2 linked regions of the Styela clava genome follow. The protein of the gene in region 2 interacts with the protein of the main gene of each other region in a pairwise test. Links are inferred from orthologs where the notes say so. Each region holds a gene or a part of one and is shown on either strand. Other genes may lie near its edges. The genes, in order: TAR DNA-binding protein 43-like and 5'-3' exoribonuclease 2-like.

Evidence for each region.
Region 1: the proteins of 5'-3' exoribonuclease 2-like (region 2) and TAR DNA-binding protein 43-like interact in binary tests that used the Homo sapiens proteins (3 or more experiments, as listed by UniProt). The link is inferred for Styela clava from reciprocal best matches to the Homo sapiens genes XRN2 and TARDBP.

Annotation. Positions count from the first base shown.
Region 1 is NC_135253.1:15,478,558-15,488,454, reverse strand, and holds the start of TAR DNA-binding protein 43-like, read left to right. Parts: upstream 1-4,885; 5' UTR 4,886-5,017; coding exon 5,018-5,147; intron 5,148-5,723; coding exon 5,724-5,864; intron 5,865-6,350; coding exon 6,351-6,511; intron 6,512-9,589; coding exon 9,590-9,730; intron 9,731-9,897. Other genes in the region: short transient receptor potential channel 5-like, read left to right, coding at 181-373, 659-780, 1,883-2,192. UniProt on the Homo sapiens protein: RNA-binding protein that is involved in various steps of RNA biogenesis and processing.
Region 2 is NC_135251.1:27,215,306-27,225,651, reverse strand, and holds the start of 5'-3' exoribonuclease 2-like, read right to left. Parts: upstream 4,092-10,346; 5' UTR 4,002-4,091; coding exon 3,927-4,001; intron 3,265-3,926; coding exon 3,137-3,264; intron 2,763-3,136; coding exon 2,651-2,762; intron 2,262-2,650; coding exon 2,200-2,261; intron 1,933-2,199; coding exon 1,821-1,932; intron 1,477-1,820; coding exon 1,387-1,476; intron 1,076-1,386; coding exon 934-1,075; intron 209-933; coding exon 1-208. Other genes in the region: uncharacterized protein LOC120336859, read left to right, coding at 7,238-10,075. UniProt on the Homo sapiens protein: Possesses 5'->3' exoribonuclease activity. May promote the termination of transcription by RNA polymerase II.

The sequences.
Region 1 (9,897 bases), on a different chromosome or scaffold from region 2:
AAGTACTTTTTTTATCACCTTGTGGGAACGGGATATTTTACAGAGTTCCATACCAAAGAGGTATTATACGCCCAGTCATGTCATTCAATATAGCCTTAATAATTCAGGTTGAAAAGAGTTTATGTTACAAAACATTTGATCACGAAGTGAGACACATATTTTGATTTCTTTTTTCTCAAGGTGGTTCAATTTAACGTGCGCAGATGAATCAGCAAAAAAAGAAATTACTGCAGTATTTGGAGAAACTGTTTTTGCTTTATATCATATCGGAACCGTTCTTATCCTGGTTAATATGTTGATCGCCATTATGAGTGGAACGCTGCAGAAAACGATAGACGATAGCGATATTCAATGGCAGTTTCATCGCACGAGGGTAAAACTTTAAAAGAAGTAGATTTGTTGATTCAGTGAATCGCGAAATTTTAATGACGTTGTCGTTTTTTTACTCCTAATCTTTGCTTATTTATTGCTTATTACTTTACCATCTTTAAAAAAAAATTAACTATTTACTAATTAAAAAATTTACTTCAAAAAAAAATTATTTACTATTATTTGAACGTATGTGGTTTGCAAAACCCACGTGGCACCATGGTTGTTTTGATTTCAAAATACTGAAATAATTTACAAACTGCATGGCATAAAAATAGACATTTTGCAGGTATGGATTCGTTTCATTAGGACAGGATTCTACCGACCTCCACCGATGAACTTGATTCCAAGACCGAAGGAGTTTGTCTATCTCGGCTCGTTCATAATAAAAGGCTTCCGAAAGCTTTGTAGGTATGTCTTTATTCCTAATAGGCTTACAATTTTAATCGTAATACTAATGATGATGCTTCAAAATTCGACGATGTGCCTCAGATTATCTTCGAAAATTTTTGAGGAAATATCTGAAAGAAAAAGTTTCTGTCATTGAAAAAAAAAAATGATAATATTATATGATTACTTATTAATGGTTGCAGTGATGTCCCTACTAGAGATGTACCGATGTATCGGGTATCGGAATCGACAATATCTGCCAATTTTTCGGTATCGGCTAAATTTAGACCGATATTTCCGATATATATTCAGCTTCTCCATATTATCCAAGGTGTTTTAAAAAAATAGGTTAGAATACTGATGTTTAAATTATTTTTTGCTTGGATAGATCGTGAACTATGAGCCATGTACGTCCCCCCCGGATTTTCCGATGTGTAAAATATAAAATACAACGTTATATTGGCACAAAATCCCGCGCACGTAACTCAATGTATCAGTTTCATATACGATAAGCAGGCTAAACATTTATGCATTTTACCACCAACAGTATAGCGAAATTCTATTAGTTTTCTAATTGGACACCAAGATTACTAGTGCCAGTGCTCAATGCTTTGAATCAATCAACGCATTTGGATCCCAAACATCAATTTCTATATATATATATATATATATATGATATTTCTCTTATTTGATCCAAAATTATGTGCACTATTAATGATGCTCGAAGACTATTGTTTTAACTCGTCTGCCCTACACACTTAAGTAATAATTACATAGAATCGGAATATCGGTATCGGCAATATCGGCCTTTCCAAATATCGACGCATTGATATCGGTATCGGCGTTTTTAGCTGATATCGGATCGGTATCGACGACAAAAATGGTATCGGTACATCTCGAGTCCCTGCATCCCTCCAACAGGTGGTGCACAAGGGTTGCTCCGCCATCAAAGTCCACAAATTTGCAACAAATAACTGTGTTGAAAGGGGTATGAAAAGTAAAACTGAGAGTGTGTCAATAACATACATACAACATCACTCCACAAAATGATGCCATGGTGAGTTTTTGATGTACCATTATGTCCCAAACTTTTATTTATGTCGGCATTTTTGCAATTTCTTAGGTGTATTCTGTGCAGAAGTACAGAAGATGTTAGCAGACATCCTGAACGGGCATATCAAGCGAATATACCAATGAATCAATACGGAAGACGAAACGACGCTAAGGCGCATCACAAAGCAGGAATGCTACAGAAAAATGGCAGTCCAGAGTCTCGTGCAAGTGGAGAAGGATACAAAGAGCATTGGTCACCTGGTAGTGCAGCGACAGAAGAAAAGTATTCTCGCTATGACGTCACCCTTAGGAAATGCGTCAGAAGATACCTAAAAGCGAATGGAGTTCATCCAGATGATCAACAAACAGCAAATATATGAGGCGGTACAACCATTCTATTTGCGCCTATTTCCACTAATCATGTACTTTTGAAGGTCATGATGATGAGACTGAATACACATCACGGTGGGAGTCGGGACATGTTGACACCACAGCTTTCAACAAAGGAGTAAAGCAAATTTGCGAGACGAAGCGTTTGACCGCCCGTCACGTACAAGCACTAAAAGAAAAGTAACGGGCAAAAAGATAAATTTCGAACGAAAAGAGTATATAAATATATTGGCTCTAATCTTAGTCCTAATTCCAAAATGGAATTTATTCTCACTGGACAGCTTATTTACTATATTAGGAATTCCATGTTTTCCTATTATCAGATTTCCAGTGTATAATAATATTTTTGTATTTCGTTAGCATTTGTAAAAATGAACTTATCTGTAATTGATTTCTATCTTTGTTGCACTGTTTTTTTTCACTTCTTGTCATATAAATGAGTGGAGTATATTTATAAATAAATTGGGTTTATTAATTTTTGGGGTACTCCCGAAGTATGTGAACCAAGATGGCGGACACCGGAACGTAGTATGTGAACCAGGCCATAATTTTATTCCAATTTTCCTTATTTTAGTTCTATTACGAGTTTGGGGACTAGCCAAGTGACTTCCGTAGTATTTGTACCGGAAATTATGGTCTAACCCTAACCTGGTACACATACGACGTACCGGTGTCCGCCATCTTGCTTCACATGCTACGGGAGTACCGATTTATACTTGAGTATATTGCCTTTCTCCCATTTTCTTTGTAGCTACGAGCTATTGTCAAATACACCAGTCAACAAATGAAATTTTAAGTCTTGCCATCTCCAAGGTCCGTTGCATACTCTAAACATGGCCTGTTTCTGAAAAATGTTAACATTTTCGTGGGATTGCAATCTAGCTAAAAGCTATTGGTTTGCTTTATTATAACTTACAAGCCTATTTTTACTAAATGTTTTCCTTGTCCACAGTAGCCACATATTATGTATACAAAATAAACAATCAATGACGGTAAAACCTTATGTAGCAGACCCTGCGTTGCTTTCATAATTTTGCACTTTTTGACTGAGATCAGAACGATCGTTTTGTCAACAAATTTTCTGCGCTATTCAACGTCTCAGGATTTACTTTGCCATCTTATACTGTATCTTTGTTTCCTTGATATTTTATGGGTTCTGTCGCCTATGTTAACCAGCATGATTTTGTTGTTTTTCTTTGAGATTGCACTTTTAATAAAAATATCTACTGAAGTTTCATATTGTCGAGATTACGTCCAAGAAAACATACATTAGTTGTGTTGTAGAAATGTGTTTCCAATGGTAGTTGTTGATGAAAAAAAGGCTAGGTTTTAGGTTTTGCGAATGTAGGATAATGAATATCACGTAAATAATGACCAAACTATCTTGGACGGCACGAGAAGGTTTTTTTGTTTTATCTTACATTTCATTTCATGACGTATGATCGTTGACCCTATCAAAAAACAACCATTTTCAGTATTAGAATTATCCTACCAATGCTGAAAGTGGTTGGGTAACGGTATTAGCAGAGAGTGTTTGTAAAAAGTTCGTCAACCTTATGCGCTTTTTCGGGAACTATGGTTACTGACGCCAGTGGATGGACTAACCTGGCAATCTCCTGCTCCCAAATTTCCGCTGTAATTCTACTTTCTTCTGAATCCACAAAAAAATTGCGATTGCATACCAAGCAAGGTATACAAAAAAAGTTGTCGATGTTGTGATGTCGTTGTTGGTAATGTTAAAAATGCATTTGGCAGCTGTTGCACAAAAAGTTAAGACGACTGACAGTAATGGTTGACAAGTAATGGTCACTTAGAATGAAGTTTGAATGATATAAACTGTTGTTGTTGTACCAAATATGAATATTTCGAATGTATCTGTTCAAGTCTTTTAATCAATGTCAAGAAATTTTAAAATGATTTATCATATTTTAAACACCTTCCTATTTTCTATGCGTATATTACGCCGGTAAAAATAAAAGCGGTCAGTTAGCAAGTCACAATTACAAATATGGTCAAAATAATTTTGATAGCAATCATTGAGATTATTTATAGTAGTAGCCAGAAGGTAGCGTCCACTGAGTAAAAACCTACGGTATATTTCTCAATGGACCTTTCCCCGACCTTTGACCCCCAAAAAATTCTTCTTATACTTTACCATTGCAAAATTTCCAGGCTATTTTAAGAGTACTTTTGTGAGTTGGCGCCTGTAAAATGAGGTATGTGTTTTGAACCATCATTATGATTGATCGCATACAACAATCTGTTTTTTAAAAGTACAGGTAAATAATTTTAGCCTAGTCTATCACAGCTATTTCCACACTGATTTTTAATTACTGCAATTAAAAAATTAAAACTTCTAGGAAAAGAGAGTGATCATTGAAATATCTGATTTATATTTAAGTTTCCGAAACACAACTGAAAACTAACGAATAGAGTTCAAAAACGCGAAAACGAGGTAATGTTTACGACCACGCTTGGAAATCGGTCTGAGTGAGAAAGGGGTCTGAGCGGATGCGAAAAGGGAGCATTGTTACGTCACTTTTTGCATTTTGCTGATTGGCCAATGTCACGAAGTAAACAAGGAATACGATGCTCGGGGAAAGGTTCCATCCGATCACCCAAAAAATTAGCAGGTAATAGGAATGCTCAATACTGACACCACATGGCGCCGACGAGTTTTTCGTCTCTTTTCAGTGGAATTGTTGAAATTGAGACTCTTCAGAGACAGAGAAACGCGAGTTCTGGAATTAGTGAAAGTGTACTGTTTTGCCTTAAGAATCTCGCAGTGTTCGAGGCCGCGAAATACTTAACAAGCATGTCTGTCTCACAAAGGAATTACAACATAAAGCAGGAAATATATATACGAATAGCTGATGACGAAAATGAGGAGGCTATAGAAATTCCAGGAGAATCAGATGGCACCATGCTATTGTCCAGCGTTACAGGTAAAAGATAAAAATACCCGTAATGCCGTTATTTAAAAAGATAAAGCAGTAGCTACTGGATAAATATTTTGTTAAGTACGGTACTCAATTCAGTAGGAAATCACTGACCGATAAATGGGCACAAACGCTTGCAGCGTTCGCTTTAAACTTTTCTCTAGGTTTTGCTCATTTTCCCGATCTTTTCGTTGCCCTTGTCTTTGTTTTTTATTTTGTGTTCAGTATTTTCATGTTGTAGACGGAAGATGAAAAAAAATAAAAACATATAATATGTGCACAAAGTGCTGAAGTGACTAACTTTTAAGCCTGTCAGCCTTAATTCTGTAATTACTCAATTACATTAATGAAATCACGGTACCGGTACGGTACCGTACAGGTAACACTAAACTCAACTCGGGTCTCGTGTAGTTTTGTGCCTAATCTAGTCTACTTCTGTACTTCTAGTGGGTGTATCATAATAATTTTTTCACATGTCAATCCTAACTCCCATCTGACTACACCATCCAAAACCATCGATACAACAGTGTTTTCCAAATTTGTCTCTTTTTATTTAACTTGCTGTTTTTCTCTATTTTTCAGCCCAATTTGCTGGGGCATGCGGTCTCAAGTATAGAAATGCTGACACTCAAACAATGAGGGGAGTGCGATTGGTTGAAGGTACATTTCATCCACCAGATGGTTCGTGGGGATCACAACTTTATATTGTTGTTTATCCAAAAGGTAAATTAATAGAAAAGGAATTCAGTATTCTGTGTAGTACCAAGACTGATAACTAACTTGTGCTATAAATTTTTCTGTTAAAATTACTACTTACTGAATCATGCATTGAACTGCTAGCCATGGGGTTCAAGAAGATAATTAATATTTTCATTGCTTACCTTTTTTTGGTCCTATTTGACAGCCCGTAGCATGTATATTGTCACTAGAACATTGCTAGAAATACAATTATGCAAGCCATTTAATATGATATAGGAAAAGTTGGTAGTATACTGTTTTATGTTATATTGATATAGTTTCAATTTTCAGTTGTTTGCATGTTCAATCAATACTATACTATTCTGGTTGGCAAGACCTGATTTATTGCACAAAATACACCCCTTTGCTCTTATTTCAATTACCAATGCCATGTTGGTTTCACTTTTTAGACATCTTGTTCAATTTTCCAATACACAATAATTTTTGTGAAAATTTCCTTCAATTTGGCAGATAATAAACGAAAGATGGATGACACTGAAAGTCAAGGAATCCGCAGTAAAAGGCCGGCACAAAAATGCTCGGACCTAATTGTTATGGGATTACCTTGGGAAACATCTGTCAACGATTTGAAACAATATTTTGGACAATTTGGTGAATTAGTTTTGGCACAAGTGGGTATTTTTTCAGTAAAATTTTTGTTTTGAGTGTATGATGTGCTATGTACATATATTAGTATATTTCATATAGGTACTGCTGATGCTTGTATATTTCTATTTGTATGATGTTTTTGTACTGCAGATTATCTGTTTATATTTTGCGATTGATTATTTTGTTTCGGTATATGAGTGCTATTATGAGTCCTAATGAAATATTTGCAGTATTTTTTTTCAGAATATTTTTTTACAGAAAATGTGTGTCTTTTTTGTTTTGTAACTAGGATATAGTTGCATTTCTGAAGTATTTTTAACATTTTGGTAAATTGCTTTATTCTAACTGGGCATTGTGTGATGAAGACATTGTTTGTAGGTTAGTTTGTATGGAAGAGTCAGAAATATGTTTTTGCTGGATTGATATAACAGTATATGAGGCAATTTGATTTGCTAAATTGACTGAAGATATGATTAGAGTTGAACATTATTTGAATCGGTTCAGCAGAAAATGTTGTATCCCCGTCATCTTTTTTATTTTATTTGGCCACACAAAGGTCGAGGTGGATTCCTCAGTTTTTGTCTTGAAGCTATAGTTTTATGATGTAATTTGGACATATGACTCTTTTCTTTTTTGTGAGATATTGATGAAACATTTTTCTCATTGTGTGTGAACTTTCAGCAAAATGTCTGAGTGATGGATTTCATGTTTTCAGTAATTTATGTGTTTGGAGGACCCATCACAATAAAAAGTCACATACATTCATATATCTTCCAAGTTCCGAATATTCAAGAAAATATTCGTTTGTATCTGAAATCATCACGAAAATGCCCATCCCTGGATATGATTGATCATCACAAGACTTTTTCAGCATTCATGTTGTGATAACAAACAATGAAATTTATGAGTAAAATATAGAACGGATGCCAGTTAGTGTAGCCTATATCTGAAGCAACCAGAAGTGTGCCCTGTATGATGATCATTCAAAAGTTGTTTGTAGAAATTTGAGCCATCTTTCTCATAACAAAATTTTCATTCTCCAACTTGAGAGTTTTATGGGATTGCCTGGGATCTTGACTGCACCTGATTTTTTTGAATAGCATTTATCATAGAATACCAAAGCCTATTTTCACATCAAATTTTGGGTGTATGTCTGGGGTATCACATGATAAATGGTATCGATTGTCCTGGGATTGCTGTGTTGTAAAATATGAAGTGAGATGTCAGTTATACAATTGATTGAAGAGTTGTTTGGACTTGATCATTGTAGTTGTTATCGACTGAAGCTTATTGAATGTCTGGTGAAATGATCAACAATCAGATCATTATGAATGAGGTATGGTGTATAATTTTTTGTGATTCAGTTATATTTTGATAATTATGTCAATAAAACCTTAATGATCTTCTGGTAAATAAATTATTGGTTGATGTAACATGTAATGAAAGAACTCATGTTCAAACATATCCACCACTTAGTCATGATGTGATAAAATTGTGTCTTATAATAGAGGCAAATACTTGGTTATATTTAAACAATATACATGTATTAAAATATACTTGGGGACTTGAATGGGAACTTGTGGAACCCCTGGACTGTACTAGCGCAGCACTAGAGTCCGCGGAACCCTGGTTGAAAATCACTGTTCTAGGACATAGTAGCTTCTTGTTAAAAGTTGAATCTCGTCAAAAATAACCGAGTTAATACAAGATGAAGAAATGATTTTCATGTTATTTTTTTTAATTATTGAAGTGTATTTTTATATTTTCAGGTACTGTTTAACTAAATCAGCCGTAAATCTAGCTCTTACTTGTAATGCCAAAATGTAATAAACATCAGCCAATAATTATTATATTTTTTTCAGGTTTAAAGATGGAAGAAGATCAAATTACCTGTCAAGAACAGTGGAATTTTTGACTGACAAATTTGTCATTTTGTCTTTTTATCCCTTAGAAAAAAAATGTATTTCAAAACACTGATTCATTCTATTGTTTTTATTGCTATTGAAGTTAAAATTTCATCATTTTCTTATTTTTTTTTATCACTCTATGACAAATTTTCTACCTATCTCATGGTGAAGGATTCGTCCATTTTAAATTAACAGGTGTACATATCAATATATTATGGGTTTGATCAATTTGTTAGACTGAATTGATCACATGTAATTAAACATGCATTATGCTTGTCAAAATACATGATCATTTCGAATATAAAATCTGTTCAGATAAATCAATCAGGATTCTATGCAACGAGGATGATTTTCAATTGAGTTCAAAGCATATTTCTAAAATTATTGCATTGTTATCCACAAATTACAGATGTTCAGAATTTAAATTAGATGAAAAACATGAATCATGATTTTATCACACTAATTAGAGTTTTAATATCTAAGCAGTTGCTTTTTGTAGTCCAATATTGTTCTCTACTTTTCATTTTCATCATCTTAGATTAGTCTAATCAGGCAGAAAAATTTGATCATCAACACGCTATCCAATTCATTACCTCGTATATGTTCTTTGATCGTCTATGATCATTTATTTGGGAATAACACTCTGCCATGATTTCATAGGGTTTTAGTAGCTCATAGAATTTTAGTGGTCCTCCATAAATTTGCTTATAGATGAGTCTCTGTTACTTTAGAGTGTGTGAGCATCACATTGCTTTAAAAAAATTTTTATAAAAAAGGGTAATGCTGGTGGTCAAACAAAGTGAGAAAATTACTGCCTCAATTATAATATATTCAATTTGAATTTCAAAAAACATACCTAAATTATTATAAATTAAATTTGGGGCAGAACCACAATGAAATATCCCATAGGTTTGAGGGACCTCTGTGCAAACCTAGTACTGGCAACGGAAAATGATCTTTGAAGTGTAGCAGGTCTGATACTAGTAGCAAACCTAATAGATGTTTGATTATATTTAAACGATATACATCGAGTAATTTTGTACTATTTTGGATTTAATAGATTCCTGTACTAGCGGGACACTTGGGTGCCACGGTACCCGGCTGAAAACCACAGCTCTATATCATGATGATCTTCTCACATGTTCCTAGTCCTAATAAATTTGCGACACATTGGAATGTCCACATGTTTTTCAGCTTAAAACTCATCCTGAAACAGGAAAATCGAAAGGATACGGCTTCATAAAATTTGCTGATTATGAGGTTCAAAAGAGAGTTACAAGCAAGCGTCATCAGATAGGAGGAAGGTGGTGTGATGTGAAAATTCCATATTCCAAGGTTTGTATCTTGATTATTTTGTCGTTTTAAACTAGAAAAGTTGCTGATGTCCAATTAGTATTTACATGTGGCACATCATGAAGCCAGATCCAGGGGGATATTAGGGTTTTCCTATTTTCTAATAAATGTGTTGATATCATCATTAGAGTTTACAATATTTGGCTGTT
Region 2 (10,346 bases):
CGTACAACGTTTAATCGGATAAAAATATAATCTGTAGTGACGACTGGAGTTTTTTGTAATTCATCATGTTCTCCTTGCTTTTCTCTGGGAAGTCCACAACAATCTTCCATTTCGTGTCCATATTGAGAACAAATTCCACAAGGTCTTGGTTGGTTAGGTTTGAATTCTTCACGAATAATTGTGAAATATGGTTCATGTGTAGCAAGACCTGCAATTGGATAATTATTCAAGCATTAAATCCAGCTGAGACCACTATTTTAATCTGGTAATGTCCAAAAAGTGTTGCTATTAGAATTTGAAACAGATAAATAATAGAACACATATGAAATCAAATATACCCGTATAATTTCACAGTACTTACACAGTCAAAATTTTTTATATTTTACACAAGTTTTGATTTTATAAATCTTAATCTGAACAAGTGAGACTATCTCATAATGCAGAGAAGCACCAGTGATGTTAAAATTAAATAGAATAGCCAAATATGTTTTCAATTCTCCATTCCTCACAGGCAAGAAAGCTTTAAATTTCAAATCATATCACACATGCCATATGTATAATTATTTGTATACGCCTCACTACGATAACATTGTTAAAGCTAACTCCTATTATGGTGGATTTTGATAAACTGAATAATTATTGATGTTACCTGATTGAACTGTTTCAGGGTGTATTTGGGACAGTAATTCGGTTGAGAGCTTAACGCCATCACTGCTTATCATTTACCGGAAGATAAAGTGCAATACTGAGCATTCAAAATCAAAGAATGTAATATGCTCTAAATGAGTATGTAACCACAAAAAATTAAAAAAATTTCTTTGAAATTTGAACAATCTACTTTTGAATTTTTAAAAATAATGCAGCAAAATCTTTGAAAAGGATAGCTAAGATATCAGTAATGGTGTTATACAATGTTAATTTTCCCAAACGTACCTAACATAATCAAATCGGCATCAGCACCACAAATGCAGTGATGTGTGTTGGGATCATGAGACTCTCGTCCTCTTTGTCGTCGAATAAAATCCATTATTTTATGTTCACCTTCACCTGGTACATTTGCATCAGATAAAATAACCTGAAATTTCAATATGAATGTTGTTAAATAACAAGACATAATATTTTGCCATATGAAGGTTTCCATGTGAGTTTCGAAATTACAAATTTATCAATTTAGAACAGTGGTCGTCAAACTTTTTAAGCCCTGCCAACTTATTTAAAATTTGTCAAAAATTCCTGTTTGTTTTGTTAAAAAATTCATGATTTTTCATGAAATTATAATAGTTTGAAACAGTGGTTAAACAACTACCATACTATCAGGAAAAGCTTATTTACAGGACAATATTTTAAATTTCTGTAATAACATTTTGCTGATTCAAAAATATTTACTTCTATGTTTTTCCAACCAGGATCATTGTTAATTCTATCTTGAATGTAGAATCGTAGACAGGCAGCAAGACGAAACATAAATTCTGTACCCTGAAAATATTTCAATCCCCCATTATATTTTTACGTAAAAAAATAAAAACGAGGATAAAAACAAAGTATAAATTTTAGAACGCATTGAGTTTCACAGTCGCAGTCGTTGGTCTTCATGCATATGGTGGAATAATTTACATCAAGTGTGTGAAAAGCATTTTAATGTTGTGAGACAAGAAGTCCACCCTTTTGGGCTGAATTAATTTCAAACACACGATATACCTTAAGAAATGAGTTTTGTATATTACAGGTTTTATTTGTGTCTAAAGATTAATATATGAGTGCATAAAAGAATTTCTTCTATATCGACAAGCGGATTTTAAATAGATGAAGCATATACTTACAGGAGTAATACAATTACTATCAAATCTTTCTTTTTTGGGGTCATCTTCTGGAAGTGTTGCTCCTCTTTCTTTCAATTCAGAAATTATTTCTTCTTTCAAATCTTTGGCTTCACTTCAGAAAAATGTTACAAGGAATCATGAAAAAATGAATATTACCGATAATTGAAAAAAATATCCATGTCACATAAAGAGATTTCACTTCGTGTCTTGTTTCATTCCACCCATTTTTGTTGAGAAATGGTAATTCTGTTCACTAATAAGGGTTAAATCATAGCACTATATAAGCAACCACCTAAAATGTGCCCATGAACGCCCTCTTAAAATCAACAAAAGATGAAAACAACTGCCTTTAAATGTCATACTAATTTGAATTACTCACGCTGATTCTTTGGAAGCTCTGAATCTTCTCGACCTTTGTTGATTCATTTTTGCCCGAGGTGCCTAGATGATTAGAATTGTGTGGTATTTAGTTACCTACATAACCAATCAGGAGACAATTCTATTTTACGAAAGACCATACCCAAATTTTGACAAATCAGTAGGAAAAAATTATTTCTCGCCTCGAGGTAGAGATACAATTGCTATTTGTTTGTTATTAATATATATTTTTCGAAGCAAATTCATGTACCCTTGAAAAATATTGAAATGTAAGTATGAAGGACCAATGGAGTCATTAAGGCTTTTGACTCGATTTTATATAACCAGTCATTTGGGCACAGCATCCATGATATACATAGAAATAAAAAAAGTGCTAGTTTTACATATGGTACCAGTAGACAACCAGTAGGCTGTTTACAATACGTATTGATTTAAATTAAACTAAAACTTACAACACCATCAATAGCCATATATAACAAACGTCTCGGTCGAACAATACCAAATATTCTGTCAATTGCATCAAAAATAGCAAACATAATCTCAACTTCATTTTTGGGTGCCGGTCTGAAAATAATTGAATACTGGTTACATGCACATATCAGATCGGAAATATAAATAATAATTGACATTATGTTGATTAAATGTAAAGTAACAACTATTAAATAAAAATGTAAATATATTGTATACGAGTATATTTCAGAGAATGGACAAAGAGAAAATTAATACTAAAGAAAAACAATGTCTTCATAAATTTATAATAAATATCAGTATCAGACGTACAAGAAATTTGACAACTCGTACCTACTTAAAAAACCCATCCCACAATGTTGACCAAGTATATGCCAAAATTTGACTTACAGAACTTATAAAAATAAAAATATTATTAATTATAAAACTCAAAAATATTTTTTATTCAGATTATCATTGTTAAAGATTACCGATCTTCTGGATGACTGCACGGATGTATGATTCCATTCATATCAAGATATAAGTTGTCAAATTCTACATCATTCGGGTTTGGTGAACTTGTGTCAACAGGAATTTCCACTCCATTGATTTCTTTTTTCTGAAAATATATTTAATCAAAAAAACAAAGTCCTCATCAGGCAGTACTGCAGTATTTTAATTCATATGGGCTAATTTTATGACAATGCTTATATTACTGTATTAGGATAGGATAGGATTTACATATTTATCCCGGGGGAGAGGAAAGCCGATAAGACGGCTTATCCATATGGCGAACCACGGCCTCTCGTCCGGTTACCATTTCAAGTCGGGTATGGGATTAGTTTTTACTGTATTGTTTGTTTTCGGAAGCATGGACTTGGTGGTGGAGGAAGCCGTAACCGACCAGCGGTTCCGTGAACCACCCAACGACGGCGAGGAGTCCAGCAATCCTCTCGCACATAACCATCCCTGCATGGGATTCGAACCTGCGAACCCACGCAGAGTAATTAGAGGTGTGGTGGCTAGCGTATTCCTAACGCTTAGCCCGTTGAGCCACATCGCCGCGCCAACAGCAGTACTTACAGTACTTCCAGTACTGCAGTATTTTAATTCATATCGGCTAATTTTATGACAATGCTTATATTACTGTATTACAGCAGTACACCCCAGTCTGCCAGAGTGGACAAAATGTTATAACAGTACAAGGTATACACTATTAATCGAAACTTTCACGTGTTTTTATAGAAAATAAATAGCCTAGGCCTATTCAAACTTATTCACCTTCTCTTCATTGCAATGAACGATGATTGAGGAATACTTTTTACTCAACCATCGAAAGAATGCTGGAACACCCATTTGACAAATTACGCAATTACCGTACCCAACACTTGAACACTCACTGCAGTTGTACCGTAATTATTGAATTAGCTCGGAACTTTTAAAAATCTGTTAATTTAAATGGGGATAGGATTTATATAAGTATAAGTTTATTTCGACTCCATAATCAGCAAAACAATAAAATGAATGCTAAAAATAAATAAATAAAAACTGATTATGAAATCAGGAGAGCGAACAAAACCTTAGATAAGGTTTAAAACGTACAGAATGTATATAAGATGGAAGGTTTTGCCAAGAACATGTGGTACGTGTTCACTCACCTAAAATAATTGAAATATTTCACACACGCTCACACGCACCCACACACACAACCATATAGAAGTTATTAAGTAAAGGGAACATGAAAAATTACATACTGGTAGTTAATAAAAAATAAATAAATAAAAATTACTTGCCACACCATATTAAATTATATAATTATATATTTTTCCTGGGTGAAGATAAGTCGACAAGATTCACTATCGGTACCTTCTTACATGCTAATAAGCACCTAGCTGAAAATACATTTTACAATATGGAGAAGTCCAAATAAATGTAAGGTATGTACATTTTCAGCATAAAGAAAGCAATTCATTTTTCAATAGTTATCATATGGTCGGTTTCCCCGACCCTTGACCTCTAAAAAAATTATTCTTATACTCGACCACTACAAAATTTTAAACGCTTATTTTGAGTGTTTTATAGTTTTGGGGAGTTAGTTATCTATCATTTTTATTTAAAACATTAAACCAAGTGCTGCTCACAGGTACCGTACGGTGCCGGATGACCGGACCTGATAGCTAATTTCAGGCTAGTCTTTCGCAGTTGCTCATTGGTTTGCGGTATCAATTTTTAATTATTGCACCTTAGGATTTACATATTTATCCCCGGGGAGAGGAAAACCGATAAGACGGCTTATCCATATGGCGAACCACGGCCCCTCGTCCGGTTACCATTCCAAGTCGGGTATGGGATTAGTTATATTGTTCGTTTTCGGAAGCATGGACTTGGTGGTGGAGGAAGCCGTAACCGACCAGCGGTTACGTGAACCACCCAACGACGGCGAGGAGTCCAGCAATCCTCTCTCACATAACCATCCCTGCATGGGGTTCGAACCTGCGTACCCACGCAGAGTAATTAGAGGTGCGGTGGCGAGCGTATTCCTAACGCTTAGCCCGTTAAGCCACACCGCCGCGCCACCTAAACTAAAGGTTCTTGAAAAACATAATGATAATCAAGTTAATTGATTTACAACTAATTTTTGGAAACACAACTGAAAACTGACAAATAACACGCAAAACATAATTTTAGTCGGAAGATGTGGAGGGGCGGGGAGTATGACCCGATTACTGATAAATGAAATTTACATATCATCTTTTTAAATAAACGAATTCGCGATAAAAAAGGTTCGGAGAAATACGAAATATTACCAAATTATCAACTCAATTACAAAATTAAACAAATATCAGGTATACCGTTTTATTTTGGAACGACTTTACAATTAAGAATCGATTTAAAAATGAATAAGGTTTCAAAATAGAATATAGATGCCCGCCAGGCGTCAGCCAATCTTGGCAAATTTGAAATCCAGCCTCAGACTGGTAACAGGGTAACCTTGATCCGCCATATGATTAAACCGTCTTCCCTATCGATCGGGATGAATATCAAAATCCCACATTGTCCTAAAATATTGCTTTGAACGAAACGTCCAAATTTTATCGGATAGCGACTCCGTACATTACATTTGAATGACGTCACGTGAACAACAAAGAGAAGGACAGACGTATGTAAATAAAAGAACTTGGTCACATGATTCGTGTTTTTGTTTTTACCTTCTTCTTGCGCCATACTGGCGTCCTCGGGGGCATACCCGGTGCTACTCTGGGTTTAATTTTAGAGGATCGCTGATGAGGATTAGCTGGTTATTATCTTAGTTCTTTCCCCCACGACCTCATTGCTAGGGTAGGCGTTATGTCAGTGGAAATTGTGTTGTCAGAGTCATCACCAGACTACTTTCGTCCTTGTGTTCTGTTGTTGCACATTTAACGTTATACATTTAATTTTGTTGATGCAAATGCTGTTTTTGTGTTTCTGTGTTTACCGGTACTCGCCGCTAGGCCTAATTCAAATTTTGCAATGGCAATAAATATTTTTTTAAATTAATTTTCTCGTGAGGGAAATTACTTCAGTCTGTCAGAATTTCCCATTAGTACCGGTACCGGTACCATACCAGCATGCGGTACCTACCGTACCGCACGTTTGCTTTCGGTTAGGATAAATCCACAGTTCTATACCGGTATTTTGTCATTGAAATGAGGCAAGCAATTTGATTTGGCAGCTATCTCAGTATCTGGATCTGTGGATACAGACAGACAGAGATTATTATTGCAGTATTCTGGTTGAAACATGATTACAGTATTGCTGTATTGGTATACTTTCAACTTTACCTGCTATGGTAGTGTCTGACTGTAGTACAGGTAGGTTTCAATATTGTGAGGCGAATGTTGTTGATAGCCTGATAGCAGAGTACGTAATGTGGAGAAAAACATAAAGATTATATTCTCAAATATTTCTGAAAAAAAAACATCATTATATGCCCGACATATTTGTGAGTTATCCGTGATATCACTCTGTCACTGGCTGAATGGAGTTCAGGATAGGATTGACATTTTTGTCCCGGGGAAGAGGAAACGCCCAAATAGTACAGTACAATTACTTATGTTATATTCCAGTAGTCCAATTGATGAGCATGTTTGAAGTTTTCAAGAAAATTGTTTGCTAAACTAATTACCATATTATTTAGCATAGCATTTTACTTGGGGATTCATATCACTGCATATTTTGATCCATTTATACGATTTTTATCGTAGTCAACCATTCTTCTGAAATACCAGTACTGAAATAGATAAACAAGCTGTATGAGCAAATAAAAGATTTTTCGTGCATTTAAACTGTGAAATATATCAAGACTTTTATTTCTGTATTCAATTGTCAGAATTAGGAATCTTGTTTACCTTCTCATTAACCTGTTAAGACAGTAAAATTAAGATTATTGATTCTATTTTTGATTGATTTTGAATTTGTTTTGAATTCAACATTCTAAAGTTTGAAAGTGTTAATACAGGGAAAAGATACTCATTTTGTTGAATTTAATTAAAAAAATTCTTGTGTTTTTTTTTTACCAGATTTGACCATATTTAGTTTTACATATTGCGATGGCAACATGTGATGAAATGTCATCTGATGTGCCACATATACCAGACTCTGCTGTTTCAAAGGACATTTCAAGCAGCTTTTCCCAGGTGGTATTTCCTGATATTTCAGACTATTTTCCTCCTGGCAAAAATGTTTGTGTCAGCTACGTCCTCGCGTCTTCTCTTGAGCCATCTTCAAGAGATTGGATTGGACTTTTCAAAGTTGGATGGACAACTGCAAGAGAATATTGCACATTCGTGTGGGCTCCAAAATTGTCAAACGATGCAAAAGACAGAAGCGTAACTGTTGAGTTCACAGCTTATTACTTGCCTAATGATGAAAATGAGTTTTATCAGTTTTGCTATGTATCAAAGCAAGGAAACATTCATGGTGCCAGTACCCCTTTTCAATTTCGCAATTTGACAGATGGAGATCAGCTTGTGGAAGTTGAGGATGAAACTGGTATGATTGTCCTAAAAACAAAGACGGCTGCTCTACAGGAGCAAGTTGAACGCATAACATCCCAGAAAGAAAAGTTGGAAGGCAAAATCAATGAGTTGACAAATGAGAAAGAAGCATTGTTGAGCGATTTGGCTAAAGTTCAAGATGAATTGGCATCGTCAAAGAAAGCTAATGAGGATCAAGAAAAACATTGTAAAAAACTAGAAGAGGAGATTGACAATTTGAAGGAATCACTGAAAACTTTGAATTCAGAAATTGAACAAGCAAACGTAAAACTGGCAAAACAAAAGGCTGAACTGGATGGCGCTGCATTTGCAATTGCGAAACTGACAAAAGAAACATTGGGAATGAAAGAAAATCTCGAAAAGGCTTATACGAGTCACAAGGAAGAAATTTCATCACTGAATGAGCAAATTCATTCTAAAGATCAAAAACTTGTTGAATCTGATGGTTTGATGCAAGAAATGAAGGAAAAATTGCGGAAATTAGAGCTCAAATCGGATGATTTGCAGCAGAAAAATTCGCAATCAAACACACAAGCTCAAGAGTCTATGGATAAAATTAAAAAAGAGCAGGAGGAGGCTGAGTTGAAGGCTGTCAGATATAAGGAAGAAAGAGATTTATTTAAAGATCAGTTCGCACATTCTGAAGAAGCTCGACGTGATATCATGCAGAACATGGCAAAATTGAAAAACGAAATTCAAGCCAAAAATGAAGAAATCATTGAGAAAAATCAGAAGTTATTGGCACTCGAAGAAAAAGCTAAAATGCTACGAAATGAGTTGAAAGAATCCAACAAACTTTCCGTTCTTCAAAAATCTACAGCTGAAAGTGAGCTTGGTAATATTGAAGATAAGCTAAATGCATGTGAAGCTTCAAAACGTCTCATTTCCACAGAGTTGACTGAAGCTCGTGATTGCAGAGACAAATTAATGTCAGAACTTCACCAAGTGAAACAAGAACGGGACAATGTGACTCGACAACTGGAATCGACACAAAGACAACTCAATGAATTTGAAAATAATTTCTATGACATGAAGGAGAAAGCAGAAGATGCTGAACAGAAGTTGGCAGAGAGTATGTGCAACATCACAGATGAGAAATTAAAAGCTAAACAAATGGAGGAAAACTTGAAAGAGGAGATATCAATCTTAAAGTCACATTTGGAAAGTGCAGACATGGCTGTGGCCACTGCTGCCTCGGCGGATAATGACAAATTGGAAATCAGTACACAGACCCTTGGCGGAACTAATACTGAACCAAAAAGCCCTGTGTCCAGTTCACAAAAAGATGATGATCTGCTCGCGAAAGATAGAACCATCGAAGAATTGAAAATGCAGATTGAGGATCTTCGAACGCGTCTCTCAATGGGGGCTACTGCTTATACAGAAAAGTATATGGAATGTCATAAGCTGGAAAAGAAAATGAAAAAAATCCATGGACAGAAAACACCAGCAAAGGCTGCAAAGCCAGATTCGGCATCTAGTGATTCCCAAGATGGTCTGATTCAGAAAAATGCCCCACAGACTTCTGTGGGAAGTGGAGAATTGTCTGGTCAAGCTAATGAGGCCGGTGATGAAACTGGTGGAAATTTCATGTCCAAACTTGAACAGTTGTTCATGGCAATTGCTGATCCAGATGCAGAAGAACAGGCACAGGCAAGCAAATTGAAAGTCAGGCTCGACAAAATGGAAGAGAGCATGCAGTTTCATCGCTCCAAATATCGCAAATATAAACAAATGTATCAGGAACTGAAGCAAACTCATGGAACTTCAAGCAAGAGATGGACCGAAGAAGTTACTTCACTCAAACAAGAAATTGTCACTTTGAAGTCAAATAATGGTGGATTACAGGATGAAAATCAGGCATTGAAGGAGCAGCTGAATGAGTTTGTAATCAACTCTCGGGATGTAAATGTGATTAAGACACGATCTGATGTTCCAAAATATCCTTCAGAAACGGTTACTGAGACCTTCCAGAAGCATGCACGGGAGTCTAAGTACCCTCACATTGGTTCATCGAGTTATCCACACGAAAGAAATGCCATCATCTCACATAATGGTGATAGCAGTTGCGATAGTGACTCCAGCGATGATTTTCATTTGGCAAGTGCAAGGTTTGGGGCAATGGGTCTTTGTCCAAAGAACCAGTCCTCAGATGATTCTGGAAGAGTTAAATCTGTACCGATCGATATGCCTGCGTCCAGCTCTATAGTGATCAATCGTCAGCCCATTAGGTCTCCCCCACTTATAGAGGTGATTTCAGAAGATGGAGGTGCTGTCTGTGCTCCAACCGCACCGACAATGTCTAATGATCGTGGTAAAGCGGGGTCAGCTCGCCAAAGACGCAATGGCAAAATGAGGAAATTGAAGAAAACGAAGAGAGACTATGCATAAGTGTCTAAACCCTATTGTATATCATTTATCAATAAGGTAGATTAGATACTCCATCATGCACTACGCTTGCATATCAATTTTTTTTAAAACTTGTAAATTGTGATTATCGCTAATATTTTTAGTTTTGCTTGGCATTATATGATGAATGTATGTAATACTAGAATATACAACTTTGATCAGCTGAAGTTTATCTGTCTTTTGTTTTGTTGTATATTGAATAATTGGACATACCGTAGTTTAATTCTCTTTGAAAACACACACAAAAAAATTA